Schizosaccharomyces pombe: one gene and its partner. Changing the gene in region 1 together with any one later gene gives a genetic interaction. Each region holds a gene or a part of one and is shown on either strand. Other genes may lie near its edges. The genes, in order: coa5 and pof10.

Region 1 (3,799 bases):
TCAGCAATCGAGGTGGTATTTGAAAGCATACAAACAGCACGATTTACCTTAGCGATTCCACTACCAGGAACGTGTTGGGGTGGCTCATAGCAAATACCGATTTTGAAACCAGTAGGGCACCAATCAACAAATTGGATGGTGCGACGAGATTTAATGCTAGTAACGGCAGCCTGGACATCACGTGGGATAACATCACCACGATACAAAAGACAAGTAGCCATATAGCGGCCAGTTCGTGGATCACATTTTACCATTTGATTATAAGGCTCAAAGCACTGATTCGTAATCTCTTGTACGCTGTTGGATTCATGGAATGCTTTAGCTGCACTGACAATAGGAGAATAAGTGACTAAAGGAAAGTGAATACGAGGGTATGGCACAAGATTAGTTTGAAACTCATTTAAGTCAACATTTAAGCTACCAGCAAATCGAAGAGAAGCGGTGATAGAAGAGACAACTTGAGCAATAAGGCGGTTGAGGTTTTCATAGGTTGGACGCTCAATGTCAAGATTTCGGCGACAGATATCGTAACAAGCCTCATTATCAACCATAAAGGTACAGTCAGAGTTATCGAGAGTAGCATGGGTAGTGAGCACAGAGTTGTAAGGTTCAACAACGGATGTGCTCACTTGAGGGGCGGGATAAACAGAAAATTGGAGGTTAGATTTCTTTCCGTATTCCATGTTCAAGCGCTCCAGAAGTAAAGCACCCAAACCCGAGCCGGTACCACCACCAAAAGAATGAAATACAAGGAAACCTTGGAGACCAGAACAATTGTCAGCCATACGACGTATCCTTTCTAATACACTATCAATCATTTCCTTTCCTACAGTATAATGTCCACGGGCGTAATTGTTAGAAGCATCTTCCTTACCAGTTACCATCTGTTCAGGATGAAACAGATCTTTATACGGTCCAGTACGAACTTGATCAATAACGTTAGGCTCAAGATCAACATAGATACTTCTAGGTACGAATTTTCCTTGCCCGGTTTCAGAAAAAAATGTACCGAATCCATCATTTAAATAGCTATTGTTTTTGTGAACTTCGGAGTTTTCTGTAGGAAAACCGTCGGGTCCTATGCCATGCTCCAAACAGTACAACTCCCAGCATGCTAGAAATGTTAGCTAAATTTTTTATGAAAAAATCGATTGCCAACTATTTAGAGTATACAGCAATACAAAAAGATGGATATTGAACATACCGTTACCGATTTGAACACCTGCTTGTCCAACATGAACAGAAATTACTTCTCTCATAATTTGTGATAATAACGAATGTAAATGCAACTAAACGCGCTACACAAGACGTTTTGGTTGCAAACTTAGGTTGTTTGTCAAGGGAGAGCGTAGGTACTCCAAGTCATGAGTAGGAAATAACGAAAAACGAATGAACTCGTAAAGCACTAAGGAGGGAAGTTTATGCAATGAGGTTCCAAAACTCATACCATGCAAATAACATAATGTTTTATAAAGAAGTAATATAAGTAGTATTCATTAATATTCTTGCAATGATCAATTTTCGAATTTTTCTGTACTGTACGGATTGAAGTGACGATAAATGTAAACAAAGAACTATGATTTGAAAGACATTTTTTCACGAAGCAAATGAACATAATTATTAGTATTTAAGCATAAATAATGAGAATTATGCTCCTTTGCCAAAGAATACGAGAATTTGTTTCAAATATGTAACAATTGTTTATAAAAACATACTAGCAACACTTTACGGTTTTTGATAAGAAAGGTTATAATCATTGCATTGCGTTTTACTGTTTTCTATATAATGATGTTTTATACTTGAGTGATTTGCAATAAATGCATTAAGCGTATACTTAAAGGTTAGAAACCTCAGAAAGTAGGTTTGAAAGCAAAGCTTTGTGGGTTTGTAATCACTGTCAAATTACTATGCGTTTAGCCCGACAAAAGATTTTGGATTCCCAGTTTTATGAAACCTAATTAAAAGCAGCTTGCTTAATTATTTTCTTAATAGTATGTATTTTACGTATGGTGAATCTAGTATAGAACATTTGATCATATGGTTCTTTTAAGGGATTAACAAATTGTAGAGGTTCACCTTACCTTACGCCAAATCCTATTTTCTACTGACAAGAACGAATTCAATGTACTTTTAGCCTTGTTTTAAAATTACAGTAAAAAATGGGCCGATCGTGTAAAGTTATTCGTGAAGATTTAGCAAATTGTTTGTTACATTCTGATTGTATGTTTGTTAAAAAAAAAAGTGCACGAGAATGTCTCAAAAACAAGGACGAACTTCCAGAAGAATGCAAAAATCTGATAGAGGCGTATGGCGAATGCAAACGTCAAATGGTACGTTAATGCTTGGCTCTTATTATTTTACTAAATGGTTATAATTCAGCTGGATATGACTAAACGATATCGAATTGCGCCAGAAAAAAACACCGACCAAGATACTGAGAAGCCATCAAATGTTGACGAACAATAAATCTATGGTTTCATAGACAATTAAATCATACAAACAGATATTACTAAATTATGCCATTAAGAAAAGCTACCTATTCTATGAACCATCAGAGGTCGTAGTGTGTTAAATTCTAGCGATATTATTTCGACTATCTACTTAATTAAATGCATTCAAGGTTTCGATTTTAAAGATGAAGTTTTAATTTCCGAATTCCCTGCAAACAAATTAAAAGTGTTTTCTACTAGGTATAATCAAAGATATACAGTATAATTCACCCTCTAGGATTATCTCTAGCTATCGGTTTCTAAAAAAAAAATTGAGATATAACTACACAAACTTTCCTTAAAAATCCTGTTTCTCAAGTTAACTCAAAGGCACATTCGAACAGTGAGAAAGACGTTAAAGCAATAAATTTCTAAATAATAAATAAAACAAAATAAAATAATTTACACCTTTTCGGCTGGCTTTTCATCGCTATCACCTTTCTTTTTTGCTGGCACAGATTGAGCATTACTTATCAAGGGACGGCTTTTAATGAAAAATATAGAAGCAAAACCAATTGCCATCACAACAGTACAAAATATCCAAATAACCCTGAAGGCAGACGCATAGGTATTCTTTACACGAATCTGTAATTCCTGGGGTAACCGTTCAACCTGTTTATAAGATAACTGAGCATAAGTTGTATTCCCGTCAAAGGATTGAGTAACCCGTTCATTAAATATTACTTCACCAACTGTAATACCAATAGAACCACCCATGGTACGTATAAACATAAGTGTAGCAGTAGCCATGGAAGTCATTGCAGGTGGAAAAGTTGCCTGCATTGCAATGAGCGGAGGCAGAAAAAGAAAACCAGATCCGAACATAAATATGGTAGTTAACCCCATGACTTTGCTCATAGAGGTCGTAGCATTTACACATATCATTGCACCCATACCGGCAACACAGCTGATATATCCAACATATATCAACGGCAAGTAACGTCCTAGCTTCCGAAGAACCATGCCAACTGTCGTACAAAAAAAGCACAGCACAGCTGCACAAGGGATAGTATGTACACCAGACATAATGGGATTGTCACCGCGAATCCGTTGAAAGTATTGAGGAACGTAATATGCAAAAAGCATGTAATTTAAATAGAAAAAAGATGAACAAGCCAGCAAAGCTGCACTAGAACGATTTTTAAAGAATGGAGGTGGTAAAACAGCATTTCTTTTCGTAAAAGTATCATATATAAAAGCAAATACAAATAAACAACCGCCAATAATAAGATAACATAGGATATTAGCACGGCGCCATTTCCCCGATGATGCACCTAAAGAAATTCCCAAAAGAATCAATACGATACCGG
Region 2 (4,731 bases), 1.3 Mb from region 1:
AATTCAAACTTAAAGAAAATAGTCTTACTGTGATTTAATCATTTCCGTCTGCGATTTGTTGTAGAAAACGAATCACTGATGTAATATCGAAAATCAGCATGAACATCTTTTGCTAAAACGCTTATTTGCAAACTAATAAGCATATTTATGCGGACAACTTACTTCTTCAATTGTACGATAAACAGGCAACAGAATTTCTTTAGTACCCCAATAAAGCTTGCTGATACTTTGACTTCCTAAGCACGCGTTAGTATTCAAATTTTTATATCAACGAAGCACATACCGAACGTATATATGATAGCAGCTACAGATGGAACAGTTCTACCACACATATAATCAAAGTCAAGCATTCCTTGAACAGCCTTTGTCTGCATGCCATACACAAAGGCTCTGGTGTCCTTGGAAAAAAGCTCATAAGAAGGTTTATCCACTGATCCCGCCATTGTTGTTCTTGTCACTGTGTTGGAGGAGGTAAGGAACGTTCGCTCATTGTTTTGCTGAACACTTTTTTACATTTAACGAGATGTTTGCGATAATTGAAATTTTGAAAATCAGATAACGCAATCAAGCGATACTTTTTATACATTCACTGATCAACGGTGCGTATGCCTTAAGAATATTTTTTTATGCTTTTATTAAGCAATAATATTATCCTTAAATAAGCATAGTAGGATATAAGAAAATACGTATTCCTAAAAGATTTTATTAACAAAATTAAAGTAACCTCTATTTTGAATTATAAAAATTCCCACCAAAATCCCTTGAATCCTCCTCCTTTTTTTACTTCGGAAGATTGATGAAGCATGTAATAAATAGATGAAGGACATGACTATATGCAGATGCAAAAATTTAACTAACGTATATTTTTCTACTTTTTCCCTCTTAGTAAACTACTAGGTGTATCACATTTCCATGAGTGATAATCGCATGGCTAGTTCAATCTGCTCTTGTTCGTTCAGTTCAGCAACATTCGCTTGTTCTTGCGGTGGCTCATGATTTGAACTTAAAGCATTTAATGACGATGTAGCTTGTTCATCGTTTTCTTTAAAATCTTCTTCTATTTTATCAACATCCATGGAGAGCTGAACCATTCTCTTAGCTTCCTCTTCTTGTGAAAGCATGGTAACATATGCTATGATTTCTTCTTCACTTAAACCAACCAAGCCCTCACCAAAATGCTGTTCAAATTTTTGCCGGGCTTCCATTTTTTCTCGTCTTTCCTGAGCAATTTGGTCCAAACCTAACATGATTTCTCTTTCGACTTCATTTTTTGAGTAGTCAGACGACTTCGACAGATTATCGTGTGTCACCGAAGGTCTCAAGGGTAAAACCTTGGACCTTTTATTAACAAAAGGTTTGGGAATTGTATAAGACCAAGATTTGACATGCTTGCTCATGGTGATCACACCTTTCAAACTTAACGGATTTGAGTCAAGCAGTATGCAATTAATTGGTTCTCTTCTAGCAGCATTCCTGGCACTCGCTATTTTTTTCAAAAAATTCCCAGTAACGGTATCGTATACTCCGCAATAGCCGCTAGCCGACCCTACTACCATTGCAACTTCATTCAAGTAAATATCGGTAATAGGAAAATTTGAGTATGCAGTAATAGTTCTAAGAATGGCCTTGTTAGGATCTTCAGTGCGAGTGTTTACAACATAAACCAAACCATTTTCATCACCAACAGCGAGCAGTCTTGCTCCTCTACCAGGAGTTGATTTTGACAACACACGATCGTTCGTATCTAAGGAGATTGAGGTTGGTTTTCCGTTGAGAGGAATTGAAGATGTTTGAACGCCGACATTATCGTTTTTCTCCAAAAATTCTTTAAATGAAACTCGACAAATACAATTTTTCGGTGCGCCCCTGGACAAGAAGGCAACACCGGCACAGCAATCTGCCGTCATCAGACAAGGAGGTTCCTCTTCATCAGTTAACACACATTTTCTGGACGATAAAAGTATAGGCTGCTCATTCTTTCGGGAGCGAGCATAGCCCGGTATTAAGTATAATTGATATGAGTTAAGTTCATAATTAAAAGTGTCAACGAGTAGCATTTTGTATTTCGGCCTGAAACACAAAGAAAGGATTTGTGAAGAACGGAATTGAAATGATTGAAGACTAACACCTGTTTTAACATCCCAGCAATGCACGGATCCATCATCTGATCCAGTAACCATACCGATTTCCCCAGTGGGGGGCAAATCACCGGTTAATGCATCAATGCATGTAACTGAATCAGCATGGGAATCCAGACAATAACGAAATTTTCGAGGAGTCTCGGCTTGACGTGACATCAAAATAACTCCAACGCGACCATCCATAAAACCAAAGCCAAAAATTTGTTTCCCCAATGTCATTGTAGATAATCCATGCGTAAAGCTGCCATCAGTACTAGCATGTAATAAAGACCTCTCAACCTTTCCAGTGGTAGGGTCGGAAACGGAGATTGTTCCAGTAAGCCAATTTCCTGAATAAAGCCTTCCTGAAGAAAAGTCGTAATAAAGGTTGGTCAATTGTCCAACGCGACAATCATACTGAACTGTTTGCCCTTTCCCTTTTTCATAAGCTCTAGTAATGGTAGAACGTAAAAGATATTCTTGCCGCCATGTTCCATTACCTAGTGGACTAAATATTTGCGACTGATCACCCGCAAAGTGATGAAAAAAAGCAGTACGCCAACTTAAATCATCGGATAATAACTTTTTCCAATATTTGCAAGTGCATTGAGCAGAAAGTAAAGAGCGAGGATCAAGAAACGAAAATATAATGATCAAAATTTCTAGAAAAAGTTAACAAAATCTCGAAAACTAAAATTGAATGTGTGAGAATTTACCTTTTGGCAGGTTTAAAACTGTTCTATTCGTATTATTTGAAGAATGATCCCGATTCATTCTCCTTAGGTTTGAGGATGTAAAATCCAAAGATGTTGGTTCCGATTTCATTGGTCTTGGCGTTTTGCCTTAGTATATAAAGTGGAACTTACTACGTGTACCAACGTATCGCTCAGAAAACGTCCTGTAATCATTAATTAACGAGCATTTTATATTCGAAAATTAATGTTTGCTTGTATCTTTTGATAGATTAATTAAAATGCTTTTATCTACATCCAAATTGAAATGAAAATTTAAAACAGTAACCAAAAAAGCTGAATATATTAACCCTATGCTAGTCCCTAACACCAGAAATACCTAATAAAATGAATAAATGATTTTACTGAACATGCAATTGTGCAATATGGTTTCATTAAAACCATCATTCCTTCTCTTCTTCTTCTTCTTCATAGTTATCAGATAAATCATCACCATTTTCTTTTCTTTTTTCTTCTTCTTGTCTATATTTTTCTAGTTCTTTAGATTGTTTCTTATTAAATCCTGAAGCCTCAATCATGATATCCAAATTATTTTCCTTTTCCATTTTCGATATGTCTTCGAAATTAGGAACATCACCTTTGTATTGATAGTTTTTTTCAAAATATTGCACAATGCACTGTACGTCTCTATCAAAATAAAATTGCGCATCAGGATGACTAGTAGATACCATTTGCGGAAAATCAATTACAACAGCTGTTCCATCTTCACGAACAATGATGTTAAATTCGTTGAAATCACCATGTATTAACCCATTCCTTGCAAATCGAACGATAATATCCATTAATGTCTGATATAGAGCAGGTGGATCACGAATGTCAGTAACAGCACGAAGAGGAAACGCATCAATCATTTCCATGATAATACAATGCCTGGAATGATCAATTGGAGCAGGTACAGGGAAACCATGCTCATGCAAGATCTTCATAAAAGCAAATTCTTTTGTGGCAGCTAATCGAGACAGATACTGCCATGATCCAGTTTTACGATTTCTCAAATAATCTCTATTGTTTTTTACACTCCGGAAAGATATACGCCCAAGCCTGTGGATTTTTAAGATATATTGCTTTCCTTTTTGGTCTCCTACGACGTAGACATCAGATTCTTTACCGACGCCTATTTGATTACCGACAGAGTAAACGGATGCTCTCTTTGACAAGGCCTTCAATGCCAAGTAATCATATCCCGCATATGTTAGTCGATAGCCCTCATAGCTGATATGCGGCACCTTTGCAATTAATTTATGCATAAACAAAACGGACAATGATTTCGTACAAGAGCCACCGCGTATTTTAGCAATTTGATTAATCATATTCGTTGGAACAACTTCATGATTACGGCTTCCCATTTCTACCTATAACTTGTTAGTTCGAATACTTATTGAAATCAAAATATAATTAATTGAATGCATCATATCGTATGTGTCAATAAGTAAGAAAATACAAAACATTGTACGATCAAAACGATTTAAGCTATATGACTGCCCAAAGATAAAATAAAGTGCTTACAGCTGTCAGAGTGCGAAAATCCTCGGCAGAAAGATATCTCATTGCTTTTATATTCAAATTTACCATCTTGACGAGCTTAACTTTTTTTCTTGCTAAAAATAAAAAAATAAGTAAGAATGCTAATCAAAGTTCAATTCCGACAATCACTAAATTGTGGTTCTCGTCAAAATGGTTGGTGTTTTGGCTAAGTGTGCTTAAAGTATTACTTGCCATCTGAGAAACATTTTTTACTTCACGCTTTAAAATTATGTAACCACAAAAATGAATACCAACTTTTTTAAAATATGAGAGCTATACACAATTTTGTCTTTAAATATCTTATTTAAGCATTTCTCAATAATTTATTAATTAGG

What was found.
Region 2: mutations in coa5 (region 1) and pof10 together harm fitness more than expected from each alone (negative genetic interaction), as found in Schizosaccharomyces pombe (one large-scale study listed by BioGRID).

The regions. Positions count from the first base shown.
Region 1 is NC_003423.3:4,266,451-4,270,249, reverse strand, and holds coa5 (cytochrome c oxidase assembly protein Coa5), read left to right. Parts: upstream 1-2,079; 5' UTR 2,080-2,159; coding exon 2,160-2,330; exon of another isoform or gene 2,331-2,379; coding exon 2,380-2,466; 3' UTR 2,467-2,891; downstream 2,892-3,799. Other genes in the region: nda2 (tubulin alpha 1), read right to left, coding at 1-1,114, 1,205-1,259; SPOM_SPBC16A3.17C (transporter), read right to left, coding at 2,892-3,799.
Region 2 is NC_003423.3:2,923,726-2,928,456, reverse strand, and holds pof10 (F-box/WD repeat protein Pof10), read right to left. Parts: upstream 2,944-4,731; 5' UTR 2,895-2,943; coding exon 2,837-2,894; exon of another isoform or gene 2,783-2,836; coding exon 903-2,782; 3' UTR 667-902; downstream 1-666. Other genes in the region: acl1 (ATP citrate synthase subunit 1), read right to left, coding at 163-236, 284-443; rio2 (RIO family protein kinase), read right to left, coding at 3,256-4,224, 4,379-4,444. UniProt on the Schizosaccharomyces pombe protein: Probably recognizes and binds to some phosphorylated proteins and promotes their ubiquitination and degradation.